Saccharomyces cerevisiae S288C: one gene and its partner. The protein of the gene in region 2 interacts with the protein of the main gene of each other region in a pairwise test. Each region holds a gene or a part of one and is shown on either strand. Other genes may lie near its edges.

Region 1 (5,448 bases), on a different chromosome or scaffold from region 2:
CTTGAAGACATTCTGGAACAAAAAATATATGAGGATGATATCGTTATTATAATCGCATGCGGTGGATCATGTATGACGTATGAAGACTTGGTGAAAGCGTCGAGCACATTAAACGTATCATAATTTTCAAATACACACGCGATCTTAGAGCAATAGAAATGGATCGCGATCTATCTATGTACGTTCGGACTTATTAAGATGTGTTTCATTTTTTTTCGTTCTAGTCTTTTTATTGGATGGTGGTCTGGAAATTCAATCTACTGATACTACAGTATTAAAGCAATTAAGCACCTAGGATGAAGCTCCTGCAAGTAGCTTGGTAGATGAGAAATGTTAAGCGGATAGTAACGCTGAAGCTATGCTATGCCATAATAATTTATAAAAAAATCAATAAAAAAGAGTGTATATTGATATTACTAATATGTAGAAGAAAGAATTAACTAGTATAATTCGGAGAGTAGTAAAGAAAATTTTATTTACATATGAATGTAGAAATTAATTCTACGATTCACGCGGAATATTGTGAAATCTTGAGATAAGAAAGTTGCAAGAGATCACAAATGAAGGTTATCTGCAAACAGCATAAACAGATGACACCTTATGAATGTAAGGTAACATCGGTAGCTTAGCGCGTTGACCTGTGAGCTCCTACATAGAATATTTGTGTGCTTGGGGATTATTTGAGAAGCATTAGGCTGGTTCAGAGGAATATTTACAATTGGTCATTGTATTTTGATATCAATTACCGAAGATTTTGGTGTTATTATGTTCAAAAACTTTTTTTTGTTTCCGTGAACACACAATTGCTGTCACCTGCTTTTGTGGTATAGCAGTGCAAAACTACTAAAAAGCAATAACATCCCATGACCTTTACCTTAAAAACTCGAAAAAAAAAAGTTTTTGCATTAACCTTTTGTTGCTCTGGTGTAATAATTTTTTTTGATGTATGACTTCTCGCTTTTGCGTGTAGCATTACTCTAACAGCAAAAATTTTAATACACGAAAACTTAATCTAGTGAATAAACCTATAATCAAGACGCTTCATTCCCTTATCTTTAGTTGTGTCCAAGTAATTGATCTGCTCTTCTTTTGTCATAGAGTTCCATTTGCGGTCCTTGTATTTATTCCTACTAATATAGTAAAACTTAGTAGCAACAGCCATACAAATGTTGAAGCAAGTGAATCCTAGAAGTATTTTGTTACCTCTAGTATAGTAAGGTTTATCATCATTTCTATACATGTTAGAAGCAATGATTGCTCCAACTTGGGCACTCATATTGTATAACGCTGTGCCCACTGTACGCGATCTTACCGAATTTGAAATCTCGGAGACCCAACCAGCAAGAATGGAATGTGTATAGGGAAGACCAAGTATACCGGTTAGTAATATATACTTGATCCAGGGGTTTGTGTCAGTCGGTAAAGCGACCAGAGAAACTATGAAAGGGAGCACCCAAACGTTGGCAATTCCCACACAAAGTGATTTTTCTTTCAATTTACGCGATAATAGTGCCGCTAATGGTAAATTTATTAGCAGCAGGGCTTGGCCTGGAATTGCTAAAATGTTCGAAAGAAATGTAGAGTAATTTAAACTCTTTAATATCAAAGATAAATAGGAACCAACTGTTTGAAGAGATATGAATGCTGTAATACCTTGGATAAACAATGGCCATAGATCAAATTCTGTTAGAGTGTACAAAATCTCCTTGAAGGTAACTGGTTGTCGGTTACTCATGTCACCCTTTGATGGGTCATCCCTTAAAATTCTGTTAACCATAATTTTCTCCTCATACTCAGTGAATAACGATTTTCCTTTGTGAAATGCAGACTCACCAGTTTGCGTAGGTCCTCTACGCATTAAATAAAAGGATGCCACGCCAACAGAAAGGGACAGAAACCCTTCAATTATAAATAGGTACTGCCAGCCAGCTAAGTTATGAATACCCCTCATCTCTATGATTCCGGAAGCTAAAAGAGAGCCTAAAATTTGGAAAAGAGGTATAGCACACCAAAAGAAACTTAGGCGGAATGTGAGCTCAGCTCCAGTATAATAATATGACAAGTATAGAATATTGTCCGGGATGAACCCGCCCTGTACCATTCCTAATAAGCATCTAGTAGCAATAAATTGACCTCGATTTTTCAGACCAGCTTGAGTAATACAAATTACACTCCACAACACAATTTGAACCGGAATGACCCTTTCTGGACCAAATCTTTTGGACAGCAGATTGCCGGGTAGTTCACTTGCTAGAAATATAACTAGATAAACAGTTTGGCCAAGGTTGTAGTCGTTCGTGTTCATTTTCAAGTCAACAATGAAGTTGTCTGAAACTGCCCTTGCAATATTTTTCCTTATTAAATCCAAAAAGGCAAACATAATAAAAACCCACAAAAAAATCTTCAAGTCCATTTTTCTTACCAATTTCTTTTCCTCATCCTTTGTCCATGTAAACTCAGGATCGAATTTAGACAAGCCTTCATAACCACTGGATTCATAGACTTTTCTCCAACGCTCTGCTTTATGAAAATCGTCAAATGGGTTATGTGAAATACTCTCCGAATCTGATGTTAAGCTTTCTGCGGACACAGATAATTGGGCCTTTTCTACAATATCGTATTCTTCTTTTTGTACGGACATAGATGAAACTTTGTTTGTTGATTGAATTTTTTATTAATTGTTTGTACAATAAATAATTTCAATAATCAACAATTGAACGCTGCCTTTTTATACTAAATGATTCAGTAGAAGACGAACCTAGCGCAGGGAATACGTCATGTATTTGATAGTAAGCGCCAAACCTATTAGGCAATAAAGTGTGACAAATTGGTAGCATTGATAGTTATTCCCAATTGACCCATAGGCTGTTGAAATGAAACCATCAGTATATGTTGAAACCTCAAGTGAGGCGTCAACCTCTAAGTGAGGCTTCAAGCTTCGCCAACTATTATATATGCCACATGACTGCAGGGTCCTTATTTTAAGGAGCTAGCTGCAACGACTTTGTGCTGTAAAGGGGTGCAGCAGCAAATGTAGCCTATTTGCTCGAGGTTTTTCTTTCTTACGAGAATGCTAGCAATTCAAGATAGTACGTTGTAATATGATGCATTTCGGCACAATTATCCGAGAAACGGACTATTTCGGGATTATATCGATCCGAAATTCTCTGCGTCGAGCCGAATGCCAAGGAAAAAAGTTCAGAGAATGACTACAAACAGCCTTGGCGACGGCAAAAGTAAGCTTGGTAAGAATGGCTTGATCCACACGGTGATTCTTGTATCGGGTCAATGCATAATTTTGATTGTGAAAGGCGCAATTATTAAGGCTGCATTCTTTAGCTTGTCTTGACTCCTACCCGTCATCGTACAATCTCCACATTAAAAAATATCACGACATTTATAAATCTTCTTCACACCGGATTAAACAAAAAAACTGTGTTAATCGGATCCGGGAGAAAATGCTAATATCTCCTTCTTGTTTGTGAAATGATGATAACTGGGCTGTTGAACGAAAATGAAACTTCTCAAATACACCTATTTATTAATAAATGTTAATTTATATTTTAAAAAAAGGTAAAAATTAAATGATCAGGTTTGCGATCCTGATTTCAAAATCATGGCTTGGATTATATCTTAGAGACGTATGGATTTCAAACAAATGCCTATTTGATTGAATATTACAGATCTACATTATCTCTTGTACATAAAACATTATATAACAGACATATTGATATTAACGAATATTTTCGAGCCACCATTCATGAAAGCCTAGTTAATGGATTTATGCGGTATTCATTTCGTAAACTTGACATCGTGTGACCTTTCATTGACAGTCAACTGGAAGACATCTCCCCTAGCATAATGTCCGACAGGGTCAAGATCAAAGCGAGCTTCAGCAATCAAGTCAGTGTTAATTTCGGCGGTTAAAAGGCCCTCCTGCCCTAGCAATGGCCCTGCAATAATCTCTCCATAAGGATCAATAATAACACTACCTCCATTAATACAGTTGTCGTCAGCAGATGGCCATCCAGGTAATTTTCTCTTACCTGTAGCTTGGTCAATAATCTCCCCAAAGCCCATTGCTGTCGCATCTGGCATGAACTGCACTGCACTAATCAAGAATAGACGACCTTCGTATGCAATATTTTTCATCACAGTCCTCTAAATAGGCCTAGCATCCACCGTTGGGGCACACCAGATCTCAACCCCTTTTTTATACATGGCGTATCTCAGTAGAGGCATCATGTTCTCCCAGCAGATAGCACCGCCAATCTTCCCAGCAGCGGTATCCACGACAGGCAGAGTCGAACCATCGCCTTGACCCCATATCAGTCTTTCGCCAGCTGTCGGCATCAGTTTTCGATGCTTCCCAACGTAGCCATCTTTAGGATCTATATAAACCATGGTACAATATAATGTCGTCCCATCGCGCTCTATACACCCCACACATAAGGATGCGTCGGTGGCCTTCGATAGTGCGCACAACTGACTAATTTCTGGATATTTCTCTCCGTTTCCGATCTCAATTGCTTCGGCAAGATACTTAGCATACTCCTCCCTTCCTTCTTGAAGACGGTAGCCTAGATAAACCCCAAAGTTCGATCCCTTTGGATAACCACCAAGAGTGGCTTCTGGGATAACGACCAACTTGGCACCAGATTCCTTGATCTCCTTCTCATATGACAAAATTTTTTTCAAGGTATCCTTAGTAGAGCCCGGACAAGAGCCGATTTGAAGGGCAGCAACAATGTGTTTCGCCATTGTGGTTAACTAGAGGTAGCCTCGAAAAGTGATTGGCTAACCCTAAGTCATAATATCACCCTTTCTTATTGAAGAGCTTTTATTATTTATATACACTGCCCTTTATGAGTCACGGAGGCCTGGGCTCCATTTTTTTTACGAAGCAAAAAAGATAGCTCATATTTCGTAAGCATTAGGCCAACTTTACTGATAACCGTTTTCAAATCGCGGTGGGATTAATATAATGTGGCGTTCATAGTGAAATGTGGCTCCAAAGTATAAGCGTAAATGCGTTTGCTTATCGAACCGCAAGTAACTTGTAATTTCACCTCTATAATTTCGAGCGGTTTTTAAGATACACCATGTTTCAAGTAACCACCTTTCGCCTTTTTCCTCTGTTATCGAACTTCCATCTGTAAAAAGTTCGCTTGCAGAAGAAAAAAGGCACTACACGGAAGAGGACTGATAATTAATGAAAATCAAGCTATGATCAAACAACTACTGGCTCTAATATATGGTTTCGGCTACATAATCTAATTGTCATATCTGTTATCTCGACACTCGTCTCTCGATAAACGAGTTCTTCACTGTTGCTAGGTGCAGTGGTCGGCCATAGTTATCCATACAAAATTCCAATTTCTTACGCGCATAGCAGTCGATACATGCAAACATCTCGACTATTCTGGCGATAGCAGTACCAACAATCAC
Region 2 (8,338 bases):
GAGAACCGGTGTTTTATTTACATATTCTTTAATTCTGTTGCTGGCATCCAAAACGTCTCCATAAGTGGGAACAATCATTTTTCCAACTCAATGAAAACTAAATATCTCGAACTATATTAATTATTTGTACTTTTTAAGTTTTTTTTCAATACTCCTTTATTTGAATTTTTGCAGAATGAAAATGTAACTCTTTATATTCCAAAGCTTATCTTTTTCTCACGTACCGTCCTATAGACCCTGATTTTATGATAAGAGGCTGAATTTACTAATTAGTCATTTTTTTCAGTTTTTTTGTCATAGAAGCCACATTTAAAAGAAGTCAGCCAAGTTACCTGTAAATATTAAAACAACCTGCTTAGAATGACTGTTAATTTACAGAATTTACGATAAAAATATAACTTGGCTCTAGGGCGTGATGATAGTGACAAAAAACTCGTCAAGTAAATGTTGGGAGCTTACTTGCCGTCGTTTTCTAACGCCAAAATACACGAATCATGTTTGGGAAATATAAGTGATTAGAACTTGTCCAAGGATATTGTCAAACAATAACATACTACAATAATCCTAGATCGTGTATTATTTGCGTATGGATAAATATACCTCAAGCTTTATGAGGCATAGAAAATTCATTAGAGTCACTACTTACGTCGCACTCTCGAGGATTGGAATGACGAAATCTTCTTCAGCATTTCACCATTCACCTTTTGAAGCTTCCTATCTCGTTGCTTAAGTAGAATGAAAGCATAGCAGCCCAAAAGAAAAGCCTCCCTCAGCAAGAATATTAACAAAGAACAATTCATGGACCGTTTCTACTACTTAATATCTCTATCACAACTGTCAGTCTCAATCAGTACTTAAATGACGCTGCAGAAAAAGATATCATTATTTTTATCATCCCCCTAATAAAATAAGTAATGAATCAATGCCATTAATTCGGGAACTAGTCATATACCTAAGGAATCAGGCTTTGATAGCTCTTTAATAATAATATTAGGGCATTTTTGATATGGTAAAAGATTAGATTAGGAAACCCCTTTTGTAGAGCATCTCACTACAATATCTGCAAAAACGGTCACCTTGCATAGGCAGAACACGCTACCTTTGAGTTAATTCACAGGGGAGAGCCCTTTTTTTTTCTTAGCAAAAGTGCTTAACAATCTTAATTTCTGGAATGTTTTCGGCGGATTGTTGTATATTGTTTGAATTTGTTCGTTCTAAAAAGTGAGACACCTGCACTTTCCACGCCAAGAACACTAATACCTTTAAACATGCCAGCGTACTTTAAAATGCCACGAGTCGCCCCGTACCAAACATGCTGGCGATTGTAATTTTTCGCCTTTTATTGGAATCGAGAATTCGGGCACTGTCCTTTTCTTCGTCATTTCAATGTTATAATCATTTTTATCGCCAAATTTTCTTCAATAAAAGGTCTCTTTTAAAATATGTTACTATGTTTTTTATTTTTCTATTATTTTTCTATGTGATTTTTCAGACGATTTATTCTTTGTTCGAAGGAGAACAGATGCAACGGTCAAGTTTTTACTATCCACATGAGGAGCCGTAATATTCTAAAGGCAAAAGCATGTGTGCTTGTAAAAAAAAATCAAAAAAAGTTACTGCTCCAAGCCAGCAAGCTTTCTCTTTTGCGAAATCTTTAACACGGTTAAAATCAAAGACAATTACTTCATTGACAAGGTCAATGCTAATATTTACGGTCTCCGCACGAAAGACTCTGAAAAATGTTAAAATTTATAGTGGCTAATGCTAATTCAAGAATAGTCTCGGGTTGTTTGATCACATTATTTTAATTTTTATTGAGCACTGAATAGGACCCGTATGTTCCAATCAGTCTATTTCTTGCAACTTAATCTGGTTTGTTTTTAGGGGAGTGGCATTTTTTTTAGGGTTATTCAAATATTCAATTCTGTAATTTGCTTACGACAAAAAGAAAAGGAGAGATGAAAAAAGGGCGACGGGTATAATCTATTCAGCCGCCAATGTCCCGACGTATGCCAAAATGTGGTGCCGCGGTAACAGTAGCATCACACAGAGCATGAGAAAAGCAAGAAAAGTGGAAGTCTGTATGTCACATTTTTATTGAAAATGCTATTTGCTATAAGGTTCGCTATTCAACTGATTGAACCGAGATAGACAAAATGTTAAACTTTTCATAGAGACGTTATTGTGATAGGGTTTACGCTGAGAATGGTTGAAACATACTTGCTAATAAACCACGTCACGTCAAAATATCAGTTTTTCTTTTTTAGTTATTCCCTTCTCACTTTTGACTTGAGATGAGATCGTTACACTTTTATTGAATACGAACGGATCACGATACATCCACATATACGAATGTTCGGCCAGACAGGGCATCAGAGTATATACCCTTTTTCCTAAAATGGAAGGGCCCTAGATCGTTGGCATCAGCGGTTACCTAACCGAAGTGGATCAAATCAGCGCCTATTTTTCCGTTTAGAACGATTAGATGCCGTCAATATGTATGTGCTTACTGTATCATCCACGTAGTAAAGCTGGGGCGTAGCATCCCTAGGTTACTTTCTCAATACTGGGGTCCCTGACCAAAGATAAAACATAACCTATTATGGCGTACGAGTCAAAGTTAAACGCTATTTGACTCGGGCAGCATGCATGACCCGGGGGAATGGAAAACTTCTCATGGCTACCCCAACGAAGCCAGACAAGATCTAGGAGATGTCTCCACCTTCCGAGCTACACTCTCACATCTCTTACATAGACACTGTGAAGTAAGTGATTGCACACAATCCAAAGAAGCACATCAAATAATATGTAAATATTACCCGTACAAATGGCAAATCATGTCCACTTTCCCGTTAGTCATCGGGTGGGCCGGTCCTCGCACTTTCCTTTTGTTTCGGATGTTAATTAATATATAAATGGATCTATAATTTTCAAAAGGTATAAACGCACAGTATGAAAAATATTGCAAGAATAATGTGTTTATAAATTATTTTTTTTGCTGGTAGCAAAATCAACTCATTGTCTTCCATTCAGAGTCTAATCGAACGTTATCGCAATGCTTGCACACTTTTAAACAATACGATTTAGTTTAAGTGGATGGACCCCCACGCTTAGTGTTCCACAGGTTTGTCCCCACTGTTTTTACATTCCACTGTACATTTTTGCAATAGAAGGTCATTGTATGCTACCTTGGGCGGCTAAGAATACCTGTAAAAATTTGGAGAAATTAGATTCGTAAAGAATGACTCGCAACGACTCCAATGATTTCTTCTTTTCACCCTTTGAACGGCCGATATCCGCGCGGGATCCTGACCCCGCAATTTACTCCACTAGACCGGCGTGTTTCTCTTTTTCCTTTTCCTGGGGTTAGAGCCCAAGAGCTAATAGCCGACAAACGGACTCCAAAAAAAAAAGGAGGCACAGGACAAACGCAGCACCTGCGTCATTCACGCTGAAGCGGCAGCAAGCATTTTCGATCAGCTCCAATTAAATGAAGACTATTCGCCGTACCGTTCCCAGATGGGTGCGAAAGTCAGTGATCGAGGAAGTTATTGAGCGCGCGGCTTGAAACTATTTCTCCATCTCAGAGCCGCCAAGCCTACCATTATTCTCCACCAGGAAGTTAGTTTGTAAGCTTCTGCACACCATCCGGACGTCCATAATTCTTCACTTAACGGTCTTTTGCCCCCCCTTCTACTATAATGCATTAGAACGTTACCTGGTCATTTGGATGGAGATCTAAGTAACACTTACTATCTCCTATGGTACTATCCTTTACCAAAAAAAAAAAAAAAAAAAAAAAAAAAAAAATCAGCAAAGTGAAGTACCCTCTTGATGTATAAATACATTGCACATCATTGTTGAGAAATAGTTTTGGAAGTTGTCTAGTCCTTCTCCCTTAGATCTAAAAGGAAGAAGAGTAACAGTTTCAAAAGTTTTTCCTCAAAGAGATTAAATACTGCTACTGAAAATATGTCGTCGTCAATTACAGATGAGAAAATATCTGGTGAACAGCAACAACCTGCTGGCAGAAAACTATACTATAACACAAGTACATTTGCAGAGCCTCCTCTAGTGGACGGAGAAGGTAACCCTATAAATTATGAGCCGGAAGTTTACAACCCGGATCACGAAAAGCTATACCATAACCCATCACTGCCTGCACAATCAATTCAGGATACAAGAGATGATGAATTGCTGGAAAGAGTTTATAGCCAGGATCAAGGTGTAGAGTATGAGGAAGATGAAGAGGATAAGCCAAACCTAAGCGCTGCGTCCATTAAAAGTTATGCTTTAACGAGATTTACGTCCTTACTGCACATCCACGAGTTTTCTTGGGAGAATGTCAATCCCATACCCGAACTGCGCAAAATGACATGGCAGAATTGGAACTATTTTTTTATGGGTTATTTTGCGTGGTTGTCTGCGGCTTGGGCCTTCTTTTGCGTTTCAGTATCAGTCGCTCCATTGGCTGAACTATATGACAGACCAACCAAGGACATCACCTGGGGGTTGGGATTGGTGTTATTTGTTCGTTCAGCAGGTGCTGTCATATTTGGTTTATGGACAGATAAGTCTTCCAGAAAGTGGCCGTACATTACATGTTTGTTCTTATTTGTCATTGCACAACTCTGTACTCCATGGTGTGACACATACGAGAAATTTCTGGGCGTAAGGTGGATAACCGGTATTGCTATGGGAGGAATTTACGGATGTGCTTCTGCAACAGCGATTGAAGATGCACCTGTGAAAGCACGTTCGTTCCTATCAGGTCTATTTTTTTCTGCTTACGCTATGGGGTTCATATTTGCTATCATTTTTTACAGAGCCTTTGGCTACTTTAGGGATGATGGCTGGAAAATATTGTTTTGGTTTAGTATTTTTCTACCAATTCTACTAATTTTCTGGAGATTGTTATGGCCTGAAACGAAATACTTCACCAAGGTTTTGAAAGCCCGTAAATTAATATTGAGTGACGCAGTGAAAGCTAATGGTGGCGAGCCTCTACCAAAAGCCAACTTTAAACAAAAGATGGTATCCATGAAGAGAACAGTTCAAAAGTACTGGTTGTTGTTCGCATATTTGGTTGTTTTATTGGTGGGTCCAAATTACTTGACTCATGCTTCTCAAGACTTGTTGCCAACCATGCTGCGTGCCCAATTAGGCCTATCCAAGGATGCTGTCACTGTCATTGTAGTGGTTACCAACATCGGTGCTATTTGTGGGGGTATGATATTTGGACAGTTCATGGAAGTTACTGGAAGAAGATTAGGCCTATTGATTGCATGCACAATGGGTGGTTGCTTCACCTACCCTGCATTTATGTTGAGAAGCGAAAAGGCTATATTAGGTGCCGGTTTCATGTTATATTTTTGTGTCTTTGGTGTCTGGGGTATCCTGCCCATTCACCTTGCAGAGTTGGCCCCTGCTGATGCAAGGGCTTTGGTTGCCGGTTTATCTTACCAGCTAGGTAATCTAGCTTCTGCAGCGGCTTCCACGATTGAGACACAGTTAGCTGATAGATACCCATTAGAAAGAGATGCCTCTGGTGCTGTGATTAAAGAAGATTATGCCAAAGTTATGGCTATCTTGACTGGTTCTGTTTTCATCTTCACATTTGCTTGTGTTTTTGTTGGCCATGAGAAATTCCATCGTGATTTGTCCTCTCCTGTTATGAAGAAATATATAAACCAAGTGGAAGAATACGAAGCCGATGGTCTTTCGATTAGTGACATTGTTGAACAAAAGACGGAATGTGCTTCAGTGAAGATGATTGATTCGAACGTCTCAAAGACATATGAGGAGCATATTGAGACCGTTTAATCACTTTTCATTGCTCTCTAGGGCGTGTTCGCTTCTCTATGTAACTGCATTTCACATATATTCATATTATAGCCTTTATAACATTACATAAAAGACATGATATACGACATACTTTAAAGTTAGAATTTTTGTTGTATTAATTTTCTCGAAGGGATTAGAATGTAAGTACATTTAAATAGCGCCGCAAGAAACATAACAGCCGTTAACACTAGCAAGATGGTAGATTACTGTGTCTAAGAATTTAAATTGTTTTGCTTGCTTTTGCCACTATAAGACAATAATAGTAATAGAAAAGAAATGTTAGTCGAACAGCAAATTGGTAAAAGTGGAAAAAATTATTTCGTTATTCATTTTAGGCCGTTCAGAAATATAGCATTTTGGTTCTTGCACTGAATGGGCCCTGAGGACAGTGTGCGGCTGGATAGCCATATACTTCGACATTACTTTTCACCTTTGAAGGGGGATGTATGCTTATACACAATCAAAGCTCGGCCTGTGCAGGTTTCACTACATAAGCTTTTTTACCATAGAAATCTTGCAGAAGGAAGTAAGTATCAAGATATTACGTATCGCATCCATAGAACGATAGCAGAAAAATGCAGTATATGATAACGATATGCTTCACAGCTGCGGCCCATTTGGGGAAAAAAGGAAAAGGAGCATCCTCGATCTTACAGATGTCGCTTTTTCCTCTTGAGGTCATTCCCTAACCTTGGATCCAAGTCAATCTGGTATCTTCCCACCCTAAATAGTGTATTCCCCATGTAATAAGATCGGACGATAAACTTCGAAACAATTCTAGCCTTTTTTATTAGATATTTACTCTACTTTAGATTTGGTGATTTTACTAAATGTTATCCTTCAGCCACTACAGCCTACTTTTTCTCACTAATATGTTCTTGAAGCCATTTTCTTCACCGGGCTTTGCCGAAGGTTATTTCACGATCTTCGGCATTCGCCGAAAATTTTTCAAGATGCCCATCACCAAAAAATAAAAAAAGCTTTATATATGGCATGGCATACGCATCGGGAACCGGTATTCTTCTCTTGGATTACACAGTTTGGACTACTAGACGTTTCAAATAGATATACACAATTACTCAAAAAAAAATTGAACTTCCGTACCAAACATGACAGCCAGTTTAACTACCAAGTTCTTGAACAATACCTATGAAAACCCATTTATGAATGCATCCGGTGTTCATTGCATGACTACACAAGAATTAGATGAATTAGCAAACTCTAAAGCTGGCGCATTCATTACAAAGAGTGCTACAACCTTAGAAAGAGAAGGTAACCCTGAACCACGTTACATTTCTGTCCCTCTAGGCAGTATCAACTCCATGGGTTTACCAAACGAAGGTATCGACTACTATTTGTCCTATGTATTAAACCGTCAAAAGAATTATCCTGATGCACCTGCTATTTTCTTCTCAGTTGCTGGTATGAGCATTGATGAAAATTTAAATTTGTTGAGGAAAATCCAAGATAGCGAATTCAACGGTATTACCGAGTTAAACTTGTCTTGTCCTAATGTGCCTGGGAAACCACAAGTTGCTTATGACTTTGACTTGACAAAGGAAACCTTGGAAAAGGTTTTTGCCTTTTTCAAAAAACCTCTTGGTGTCAAGTTGCCTCCTTATTTTGATTTTGCCCATTTTGATATCATGGCAAAAATATTGAACGAGTTCCCATTAGCTTATGTCAACTCTATCAATAGTATAGGAAATGGTCTTTTCATTGATGTGGAGAAGGAGAGTGTAGTAGTGAAGCCAAAGAATGGTTTCGGGGGTATTGGAGGTGAATATGTTAAGCCAACCGCGCTCGCCAATGTTCGTGCATTTTACACTCGTTTGAGACCTGAAATCAAAGTTATCGGTACAGGTGGAATTAAGTCCGGTAAGGATGCATTTGAACATCTTCTATGTGGTGCCTCTATGCTACAGATTGGTACAGAATTACAAAAAGAGGGCGTCAAGATTTTTGAACGTATCGAAAAAGAATTAAAAGACATAATGGAAGCTAAGGGTTATACATCCATAGATCAGTTCCGTGGGAAGTTGAACAGCATTTAATTATCGGAATTTGAAGAACTATGATGGGACAAGTTATGGAAGAGTGTTAAGATTCGTATGAATATTTTATTATTTTGAAATTGCATAAATCAAGGATAGTTGGTAAATGCTAATTCCTTAATTTTTCGGTGAGTGCATTCGCAATTGGCATCATACATTAGGGTTCAATGTGCTTTAATAGATGATGATACTAAATACTTATACTTTGAAATAACTTAATCAATGTAAATTATTGTCTTGATTCATTTATACTTAAATTTTTATATCTCAACATATGATATATCCTTACATTAAGACTTATTCAAGAAACATTTTTCAACGATAATTATTAGTAGGCTAAAAATGGCATAGGAACCAGAAAATAATGTTGAAGAAATGAAGCCATCTGTTTAATATTTGGGGAAAAAAGTGAAGAAATTAACGAATATGTGCATATATAT

The links. Proteins that work in one complex are often made in the same cells at the same time.
Region 1: the proteins of JEN1 (region 2) and SOA1 interact in a protein complementation assay, tested with the Saccharomyces cerevisiae proteins (one large-scale study listed by BioGRID).

The regions. Positions count from the first base shown.
Region 1 is NC_001141.2:29,926-35,373, forward strand, and holds SOA1 (Soa1p), read right to left. Parts: upstream 2,642-5,448; coding exon 1,013-2,641; downstream 1-1,012. Other genes in the region: YIL165C (uncharacterized protein), read right to left, coding at 3,793-4,152; NIT1 (Nit1p), read right to left, coding at 4,162-4,761.
Region 2 is NC_001143.9:18,262-26,599, forward strand, and holds JEN1 (monocarboxylate/H+ symporter), read left to right. Parts: upstream 1-3,972; coding exon 3,973-5,823; downstream 5,824-8,338. Other genes in the region: threo-3-hydroxy-L-aspartate ammonia-lyase SRY1, read right to left, coding at 1-78; URA1 (dihydroorotate dehydrogenase), read left to right, coding at 6,954-7,898. UniProt on the Saccharomyces cerevisiae protein: Essential to lactate transport.